Schizosaccharomyces pombe: one gene and its partners. The protein of the gene in region 2 purifies or fractionates together with the protein of the main gene of each other region. This does not show direct contact. Each region holds a gene or a part of one and is shown on either strand. Other genes may lie near its edges. The genes, in order: cwf18, wdr83 and syf2.

Evidence for each region.
Region 1: the proteins of wdr83 (region 2) and cwf18 purify together in Schizosaccharomyces pombe (affinity purification with mass spectrometry, with the first as the bait; one study listed by BioGRID). This does not show direct contact.
Region 3: the proteins of wdr83 (region 2) and syf2 purify together in Schizosaccharomyces pombe (affinity purification with mass spectrometry, with the first as the bait; one study listed by BioGRID). This does not show direct contact.

Annotation. Positions count from the first base shown.
Region 1 is NC_003421.2:2,404,028-2,407,376, forward strand, and holds cwf18 (protein Cwf18), read right to left. Parts: upstream 1,774-3,349; 5' UTR 1,517-1,773; coding exon 1,088-1,516; 3' UTR 616-1,087; downstream 1-615. Other genes in the region: AP-1 adaptor complex gamma subunit Apl4, read left to right, coding at 1-550; ribosome biogenesis protein nsa2, read left to right, coding at 2,346-2,416, 2,477-2,596, 2,728-3,319. UniProt on the Schizosaccharomyces pombe protein: Involved in mRNA splicing where it associates with cdc5 and the other cwf proteins as part of the spliceosome.
Region 2 is NC_003423.3:874,547-878,027, reverse strand, and holds wdr83 (WD repeat-containing protein), read right to left. Parts: upstream 1,790-3,481; 5' UTR 1,679-1,789; coding exon 1,333-1,678; exon of another isoform or gene 1,288-1,332; coding exon 1,251-1,287; exon of another isoform or gene 1,208-1,250; coding exon 1,050-1,207; exon of another isoform or gene 1,010-1,049; coding exon 657-1,009; 3' UTR 560-656; downstream 1-559. Other genes in the region: adl1 (DNA ligase), read right to left, coding at 1-524; pwp2 (U3 snoRNP-associated protein Utp1), read left to right, coding at 2,106-3,481.
Region 3 is NC_003423.3:2,683,176-2,686,344, reverse strand, and holds syf2 (SYF2 family splicing factor syf2), read left to right. Parts: upstream 1-1,504; 5' UTR 1,505-1,594; coding exon 1,595-1,660; exon of another isoform or gene 1,661-1,709; coding exon 1,710-2,333; 3' UTR 2,334-2,509; downstream 2,510-3,169. Other genes in the region: Sm snRNP core protein Smf1, read right to left, coding at 300-339, 459-655; cfh4 (chitin synthase regulatory factor), read left to right, coding at 2,585-3,169.

The DNA of each region.
Region 1 (3,349 bases), on a different chromosome or scaffold from region 2:
AAGCCGCGCTCCTTCTACTTCCAAAAAGAGTCATTTTGAAGATATCCTTGGTTTATTTGCTTCTCCGGCGCCTTCAGCTCAACCGGTTGACAGCTTGGCAAGCAGCTTTGCTTCTTTGGACTTTAATGCTTCAGCCAGCCAACCATCAAACAACTTGTCTTTGCTTTCTTCCATACCATCAACTTCCAAATCATACCCTCCTATTGTTGTATTTGATAAACACGATGTGACGTTAACTTTGGTGCCATCCAAAGAAGAAAGTACCAAAACAGCCGTCATTGAAGCTAAATTTAAAAATAAAAATCCAATGACTAGGGTTGAGAAAATACATCTAGAAGTGGCAGTTCCCAAATCACAGAAACTGAAAATTCAGCCCTTGAGGACTACAAGTATGGAGCCTGGTGGAGAAACTTCTCAAACCCTGCGGGTTCATGGGCCATCGGGTTCTCAAGTCAAACTGCGTCTACGTATCTCTGTGGTCCGACAAGGTGGATCAAATACTCTCGATCAGGTAGATTTTGGAAAGTTGCCATCTGACCTTTTACAATAGTATCCGAAGTATGGACAATGCCATTTAAAATATAACGCTCGAGCTATCAAAGAAGATTTCTGACATGATCCATGCTACACTTTTTGATGGGTCTAGTCAGTTTTACGAGAAAATGTTCGTAGAATAGTGAATAATGAGGTAATAGAAAATGAAAGCTCTAATTGTTTTTATGAAAGAAAATAGGTTTTTTTTTATATAATTTTAGCAATTTTCTCGATATGGAATCATGGTATACTTATTGGATAAGTTCACTTATGTAATTTTCAAATTGAGACTTGCTCATTCTTTATTGTATATCATTGAACGGAAATTTGACCTTCCAAACCCTTCATTAAGAAGTGGTCGGATTTAGAATTAAAGCTGTAATATTATTTTAATAGAAGTGCATACCTCCAATACAATCGCAACTAGAAAAGTATAAAATGTAAAATCCTAAACTTATTTCCTTTAACAATTGATCAATGCAATAATTAAGCCTATGAATTATATATTAACTAACAGAGAGTAAATCCAACATTAGAAAGCATTAGTCTTGCTTTAAGCTTTTTCAGTACTATGCGCACGTTCAGAAATTAACTGTTGTATATAAAATGCTATTGCATTTTGATTTTGTGTTTCCAGAGACCGCATTCGCTCTTTTAAATCTCTTTCTAAATCCCATGTAGGCTTTTTAGGTCGCAAAGTTACCAAATCTAGTTCTTCAACAGGAACAGAACTTTGTTCTTCAATTTTTCTCTTAGTCTTTTCTTCAATCTCCTTCGATAATGCTTCAACTGATTCAATCATGTTTGGCGGTTCCACGAATCCCATTTTAGGTGCCTGCACTTCTGGATCATAATTTCGATGCTCAATTACATTTTTTTGAACCTCTTGAGAATCGCGAGTTTTATTCTCTAACTGCTTTATTTTCCTCAATTCCGCTAATCTCTGTTTTCTGGACTCTGCTACCTCATCTAATGAAGACATTTTTTGTTCCAATACAAAAACACAAAATTCGGAAAAACCACACTATAAAACCAGAATGAATGTAGTAAGATACTTTTTTTGTAGTAAGTAATAAGATTAATATCGAGAGATGTTAAAATTCCTAGAATTAACTAGAGTTTGACAATGCACAATAATTCCAGTTCCTAATCAGCAGTATCAAAAAACAAAAACAAAAATTGAGTGTGTAATTTTATATTAACCTAATAGCGACGAACTACCAGATCGTTTTACTTTCTAGTTATTTTTGATAAATGCAGAATATGTATATGAATATTGAGAAGTTAGGAAAATGCAAACCAAGCTCGTTGTTGTCATCTACGCAGTTTGGTATCTGTTTTACGGATACGTAAAACTGCAGTGAGTTTTCCTTGTGACATATTATATTGCAATATGCAGGTAATATAAACAGTAACGTACAATAGTATTATACCATATATGCTGTATTGTTACCTATCACTAATATAGCTTATAACTAAACTTCGTTCCTCAGTTCAGCTAAAGCTCTATTTTTTTGTTTCTAAATAGTTGCTATTCACGGGAATCCATGCATGTAGAAGGATACTTACCCCTAATTATCAATAAACGAATCTTAAAAGATATGTCAGCATATGACATATAATGAGGCGTAATGTAGTACATTATGGCGTAGTGTAATCGTTGATAATTTTTTATTTTTAACGTGTTGTCGCTGAAAATCGATAGTAAAACTTAAGGCAGCAGAGCTTGTCATTCAATAAGTCTGGTTCGCATCGTATACCGGTGCAGCACACATGCAAAAAATTAACTTGCTATTTGCCTATATCAATCAATGCCTCAAAACGAGTATATTGAGGAATCTATTCGCAAGCATGGTCGTCGTTTCGATCATGAAGAAAGAAAGTGAGTAAATTTTTTTGGATTTATTGTCAATTGAGAGTTTTATTAACACTTCTATTTCAGGAGAAAAAAAGCTGCCCGTGAAGCTCACGATGCTAGTCTTTATGCTCAGAAGACTCGTGGTATAAAGGCGAAATTGTACCAGGAGAAGAGACGCAAAGAGAAGATCCAAATGAAGAAAACGTATGTCATGAGTTATTGCTAATAAAAATTTCAGTGAAGTGGTGAAGTTGAGATGTCTGATTTGATTGTTTAAACGTCATGTCGTACATTGATTTAAAAAAGTTTTTAAAGTCTGTTACTAACTCTATCAGTATCAAACAACACGAAGAACGAAATGCTACTCAACGTGGATCCGATGCTCAAACTCAAGGTGCTGTTCCAACCTATTTGCTTGATCGTGAACAAGAATCGCAGGCTAAGATGCTTTCTTCTGCTGTTAAGCAAAAGAGAAAAGAAAAGGCAGCTAAATATTCTGTTCCTTTACCTCAAGTTCGTGGTGTTGCTGAAGAAGAAATGTTCAAGGTTATTCGTACAGGCAAAAGCAAGAAGAATTCGTGGAAGCGTATGATTACTAAAGCTACCTTTGTTGGTGATGGATTTACTCGCCGCCCTGTTAAATATGAGCGTTTTATTCGCCCAATGGCTCTCCGTCAAAAGAAAGCCAATGTTACACATAAAGAATTGGGTGTTACTATGCAACTTCCTATAATTGGGGTTAAGAAAAATCCTCAAAGCCCGACTTATACCCAACTCGGTGTTTTGACAAAAGGAACCGTTATTGAGGTTAATGTCAGTGAATTAGGTCTTGTCACATCTGGTGGTAAAGTTGTTTGGGGTAAATATGCTCAAATCACCAACAACCCAGAGTTAGATGGATGCGTTAATGCACTTTTACTGACTTAGTTTATTTAAGGAAAAATTTATTTAGCGTAT
Region 2 (3,481 bases):
GTAGAACTAATTAAGGAAAAGGTGTTAGCAAGTGATGAGTAACTGAAGCTTTTTGTATCTTTTGAAACAAATCGGGCTCGACAACTTTTCACGTAAGTCAAAGGATCTTTCTGTAAAGCATCGTAATCAATTGTGGAATCTTTGTTCACGCTATCAGTTGAGAAAAAAGAAGCTTTGCATTCTTCGCTTGTAACTAAATTCTCCTTAGGTTTATCATTGCTTTCTTTTACAACATTAAATGTGTCAGTATGATACTCTTCTTCAGGTATAATTACATCTTTAGGAAGCTTTTCCGGAGCAGTAGCTTGGTTCTCAGAATCAAAAAGCTGTTGAAGCTTTAATGCATAAGCATAATCGCTGGCGCTTTGATCGTGATCGGTGAGCAATTTGTTTGGTGTATCTGTAAGCTGTGCTTCTCGTTTTGAAAACAAATCTTGAATTGTAATAATATTTCGGCTTTTCTCACCCTTTTTAGACGTAGATTTTAAAGAAGAGCCATTTTTCATGCGCTTTTTGGGAGGCATATTATAGACTACAAATATTGCATTATAGATGATATTAATTTAATTAAACTTAATAAAATCCTTTAGTAATTAAATTTCAGCATTCGCTTCCAGCTATTCAAACCACAATTGCAATTGGGGAAATTGAGGTGGTCAGTTGTACTGGTATATGAACAAATCACCATGAACAGTAGCTATGATAAAGTCATCCATAGTAGGATGACAAGATATATCAGTGACAATTGGAGTACCAACAACGGAAGTGGATGTTATTTGGGTTTCATTTTCTAAATCCCATAGATATACTTTACCATCCTCACTTCCGCTGAAAACAATTGTTTCACTTTGATTAAAGCTAGATCTAACTCGGTACTCCATGTTTTTCAGACCGATATAACTTTTCAAGATTTTACCCGTTTCTTGGTCAAGTAGATGAATAGATGAATTTAAAGAAGAGATCAAAGAAAATGATGCGCTTTTAGAAGTCTTGACTGATGTAATGGGATCTATTTAATTTGTTAATTTTTGAAACAAGTGATCACTTACGAGAAAAGTAATCTGAACTCAATGTTCCCTTTCGAATATCATATGTTCTTAAAGTGCCATCAGTTGATCCAGTAACTATAAGATGCTCAGCAATGTCGATAGAAGAAACACTGTCTTTCGCATCTGCTAAGACCTGAATAGGGCTAAAAGAATTAGAACTAAATAAGTTAGTAGAATAAAAACAGAATTAATAGCCCATACCGACAATCCCATAATCGAACTTTAGAATCGAACGAACCTGTAAACAATTAGATTTTGGATTATTCGTAACAATCACACTCACCGCTAGCTAAAATGGAGGAGTCCTCGTTATAACGAATTGTATTAATTTGAGCCAAATGGCCTCCAAGTCTTCTATCTACCTTTCCAGTATTCACGTCCCATACTTGAATGAATTTGTCACCGCCGCAGCTAGCAAATTTTGTACTGTCATAGACTAAATCCAAATCTAGTATTTCATGACCATGTCCAGCATATTCATGTATGCATGCGCCGCTCTTTACATTCCAAAGTCGCACAACCCTTTCGTTACCAGCAGCAAGGACGTACTTTCCAGTCCTGTTATATTTTACGACATTAATAGGTTCTTTTGCTTTAGAGCTCAGCTTAGTTTTAGCTTCCAATCGCATACTGTTTTTGCATTACAAAAGGATGCTAGGAACACGATCTTTTTCAGTTCTTCAACCTGTAATACAGAGCTTGTAAAATGTATGACCGTCAAATACTATGTTTAGACAAGTAAGGAAAACTCTACAAATCACCGCATAAAAATATTTTTTGATTGACGGTAATCTACTGAATTTCAAAATTTTTTTATTAAAATCCAATTAAAACTGTTTTATCGTAAACTGTAGACTCAAGACATGTATCCAAAAATTTTTTGTCGTGGCCCTCTCATTGAGTGTGACAAACTTCACAACTATCCAAATACCAAGATTCCGCAGTTTGCTGGAAAGGTCCTGAGAAATACTCTGAGGAAATCTCCTTTGCAAATTACTTGTTTTCTTTTTTTAATTAGGTTATAATCCGCATAAAACGTGCGGATTGAACTAGAAAATGAAAACTGAATTTGGGTTTTCGAACTTAGTAGGAACAATCTTTTCTAAAGGTAATCTAGTCTTTACTCCTGATGGATTTTCTATTTTAAGTCCTGTTGGAAATCGTGTAAGCGTATACAACCTAAAAGATAACACGTCTTATACGTTTCCTTTTGAAAATCATAAAAACATATCTCATATAGCTTTGTCACCTACATCTACACTTCTTTTGTCAGTGGATGAAGAAGGACGATGCATTCTATGCAATTTTTTGAGAAGAAGTGTGCTTCATTATTTTAATTTTAAGTCACCAGTTGGTGCAATTGAGTTTTCTCCTAATGGCAAATTTTTTGCGGTTTCCTTGGGAAAATTAATACAAGTTTGGCGTACGCCTAATTCTTTAGAGGAAAGGGAATTTGCTCCTTTTGTATTGCATCGTGAATATACTGGCCATTTTGACGACATCGTCTCAATTTCTTGGTCAGCCGACTCTCGCTTTTTTATATCTACTTCAAAGGATCTGACCGCTCGTTTACATTCTGTCGACCCTATCGAAGGTTTTCATCCCTGTGCTCTTACTGGTCATAAAAATACAGTAGTATCGGGGTTTTTTTCTAAAGACCAACAAACCATTTATACTGTGAGCAAAGATGGCGCCCTATTTGTTTGGAAATACTCGCCTCTATTCCAAGCAGGAGAGGTAATTGACGAAGAGGCAGAGGAAAATAAAACTCGGACGCATATTTGGTTGATTAAGGAACGACATTATTTCAACCAAAACTCAAAATTACGATGCGCAGCCTTTCATCCTACTAGCAATCTGTTGGTAGTGGGATTCTCTAGCGGGCTTTTTGGTATATATGAATTACCTTCGTTTACAATGTTATACCAATTGAGCATTACCCAATCTAATATCGATACTTTAACTGTAAATTCGACAGGAGATTGGATTGCTATTGGCTCTAGTAAACTTGGACAATTGCTTGTTTGGGAATGGCAGTCAGAATCATATGTTTTAAAACAGCAATCACATTATGATGCGTTGAGTACGTTGCAGTACTCTTCTGATGGTCAGCGAATAATTACTGGTGCTGACGATGGAAAAATAAAAGTTTGGGATATGAATTCTGGTTTTTGTATCGTTACATTTACTCAGCATACATCTGCAGTATCTGGCCTTTGTTTTTCTAAGCGAGGCAATGTACTCTTTAGTAGCTCTCTTGATGGTTCAGTTCGAGCTTGGGACCTCATACGTTATCGTAATTTCAGAACTTTTACGGCTCCATCCCGGGTTCAGTTTTCTTGCATTGCAGTTGATCCATCAGGCGAAATTGTTTGTGCAGGCTCGCAAGACAGTTTTGAGATATTTATGTGGTCTGTACAAACTGGTCAGCT
Region 3 (3,169 bases), 1.8 Mb from region 2:
TATCTCTTTGTAGCAAATTATTAGAAACTTCAATTCTAATTAGGTCACTCCATGAAAAGTATATATACGCATAATTCCAATCACTAACGAGTAATTTTTATGCAAGTACAATATCCAATAAATCTAAGAGGAATGTTTGCACTTTTGTATGGATCCAAATTTATAACCGAATACATACAACAAACGAGGGAGGATATGTTGAGAAGTCATGCGTATGCAACGTTGAAAAACAATCTCAGTTTTTTAATCAATTAAATACAAATTCTTAGCCTTCAGCCTTATATATCGACTTGTCATTATTAAACAGTACTCTCGCCAACCCAAAGGACATTATTGCACCTATTAAAATCACGTTAGTATAAGACAAAAACAAACTAACATGTGTTTCGAAATTGAATTATCATGTGCTATTTAATTCACGATAAAAATTTGAATTCTAACATTTAAAATTTACTAACCTGATCAAAATCTCACCTAAATCTCCTGTTTTTACACCATCGACTAACTCCTCTGCATTTAAAAGTTGCAAATTCATATAACTATCTACAGACTGCAAGGTTCCTTTATACTCTTGACCCCATTTAAGACGAACAAGGACAGGTTTCCCAATAAGACCTTGCAAAAAAGGTTTCGGGTTTACTGGAACAAAAGACATTTTCTTATGGAAATCCAAACCAAATACTTGTTAGGTTTAAGTTGATGTGCTTAGAGATGAAGATGTACGTTTCTCCTGCAAGAGGTGAATGTTCTGCATCTACTTGAGGATATAACGTATTACGGCAAAAGACGTTATCCCATCAATTCGTCAAATCCTGCGACTTGTTCTGTGTTAAAGTGTTTAGTTTTTTGAATGGCAAGAAATTTTCGAAACAAGGGCACTTCTTTGAGTAAAACTTCCCTTTTATAATGGAATGTTTAAACACGGGCACGGGCTCTAAGTCTGTTGATCGCATGTGTCATTGAACTTTCGAATAATTATTTATCTATTTTTAAAGGATAACGTGGATGATCTGATTTCACTGCAGAAATAAGGTAATATGTTCACAGCTAAAAACATATTGTCATTAAATTATTTTTCAATAATGAGATGTTAACTATGCTAGTTGGATTACTGATATCATTCGGCTTTATGTGATCTAAACCCCATATTTTAATGCAGAAAAGTTAGATATGTTTTAGCGGTGAAAGGAGCAAGCTCAAGGTTTTACTTTAAATTATAAAATCATAAAACAATAATCTATTCCAACTGGATTTAGGAAAAAAGATAAGAAAACTGAGAGCAAAGACACAACATGAATCATGATCAAAGGCCTTTTTTTCTTTATTAACATCCTGTAAAATCCGATGAGTTTATAGTTAGGTTTAAAACCGAGCACTTTTCCTTACCTTGTGACATTTGTTTTGTTTTGTTTACAATGAATAGAGCAGTATCCATAGTCAACGTAAATTCATATTGTGAGGTAATTATTTGTTCATACATAATTGTGTAGAGTAAATGCGTAGCACACTACAACAATTAAACTTGATTTCTGAATAGTTGTGGTTTTTTTAAAAATTAGAGGAAAAAACTAAGGGGCAAAGAATTTTAAACACAATGGACTCGCCTTCTCACTCACGTGAAGCACGAGTTGAAAAACTAAAAAAAATTCGTGAACAAATGGTATGTTCGTTAACTACTTAGCTATTTTGTACGGCTAACCAAAGTTTAGAGGAAATCTTCTCATGAAAATCGTAAAGAGGTAGTACAAGAGCATTCACGAATGCGCATTGATCCTGCTTTGGAGCGGCGACTCGAACGAAAACGAATGGAGGCAGAGGAAGAGCTTGCTAAAATCGAAACTGAGGAAGAAGGAGGAGACTTTGAAAGACGAAGAGCTTGGGATTGGACGATTGAAGAAAGCGAGAAGTGGGATCAGCGATTACGAAAGAAAAAGCAAACAATTCAGAATGTGGCATTCTCAGACTATCATTCTCAAGCTAGCAAAGATTACAACCGTGGCATAAGAGATCTGAAGCCGGATTATGAAAAGTATGACAAGGATAAAAAAGAAGAAAAAAGCAAGTCTCGATCCGTCGCTTTATATGACGAAGCAGAGCGTTTGGACTGGGTGTCAAATAAACCTGATAAGGAACACGTCGAACGTTTAGTGGAAAGTATTAAAAAACAAGACCAACGAAGGTTAAAAAATACCAAACGGCGTGGTACAGATGAGGAAGACCATATTACATTTATCAACGAACGTAACAGAAAGTTCAACCTCAAACTTCAGAGATTTTACTCAAAATACACGAAAGATATTAAGGAAGATCTGGAACGAGGTACGGCTCTTTAATCATCTTATGCTTTTTTTATTTGCTTTTACCAGCCTTTCTTGTTTTACCGAAACCCAACGCGCAACGTAAGAAAGTACTCTGGCGTGGCTGGCATATACTGGGTAGGTTGGTTTTACCGAAACCTGTTTATGTGGCTGGATAAAGGATGTCAAAGGTACCTGATGTACGAGAAGTATTTATATTCGAAGATTGCACATTTTCTGGGTAATGAGCAGTTTGAAGGTAAGGTAATAACGACTCTGTGACTTCCATGCCTGCATCCACGTCCATCCCCGAAACTCCTTCGAAGTTACCAGACGCATTGCTGGTTAATTCAGATCCTGCTTCTAAAGTTGATAATGTTTCTGTTAAAATTGAACAAGAAAGCCCTTTAGCTCTTGAAGGAAGTCCGTTACCTACAGTAAGCGATGTTCTTCCAGAGACTAATAATGCACATGAAGAGGTCTCTTCTAGCAGCTGGTCACTTTCGTCCTCTGATTCTATAATGAGCTATGATTCTTTGTCCGACGATGTTTCAGTTTTATCGTTTCTAGATTGTCCCCTTACAACTTTTGAGACTGCACCTTCCATAGCAAGCTTTTCGAACAGTGCAGCTGATGTTAGTTCACACTCTCGTTCTTCTAGCAGCTGGAGTGCAAAGCTCTCTCGGTTTACAAAGCATGCTTCTAAACCTTCACTCTCTTCAAACTCTTCTGATTCCTCATTTTCCAAATCTGGTTCGGAGTCAAACGCTCTTTCTTCTAGAGGAAGTTTTGAACTTGAACCTCATGGTATCCATAGACATGTTAGTCGAGCGAAGCGTTTACTTAGCAAATTTTATTCGAAATTTCACCAT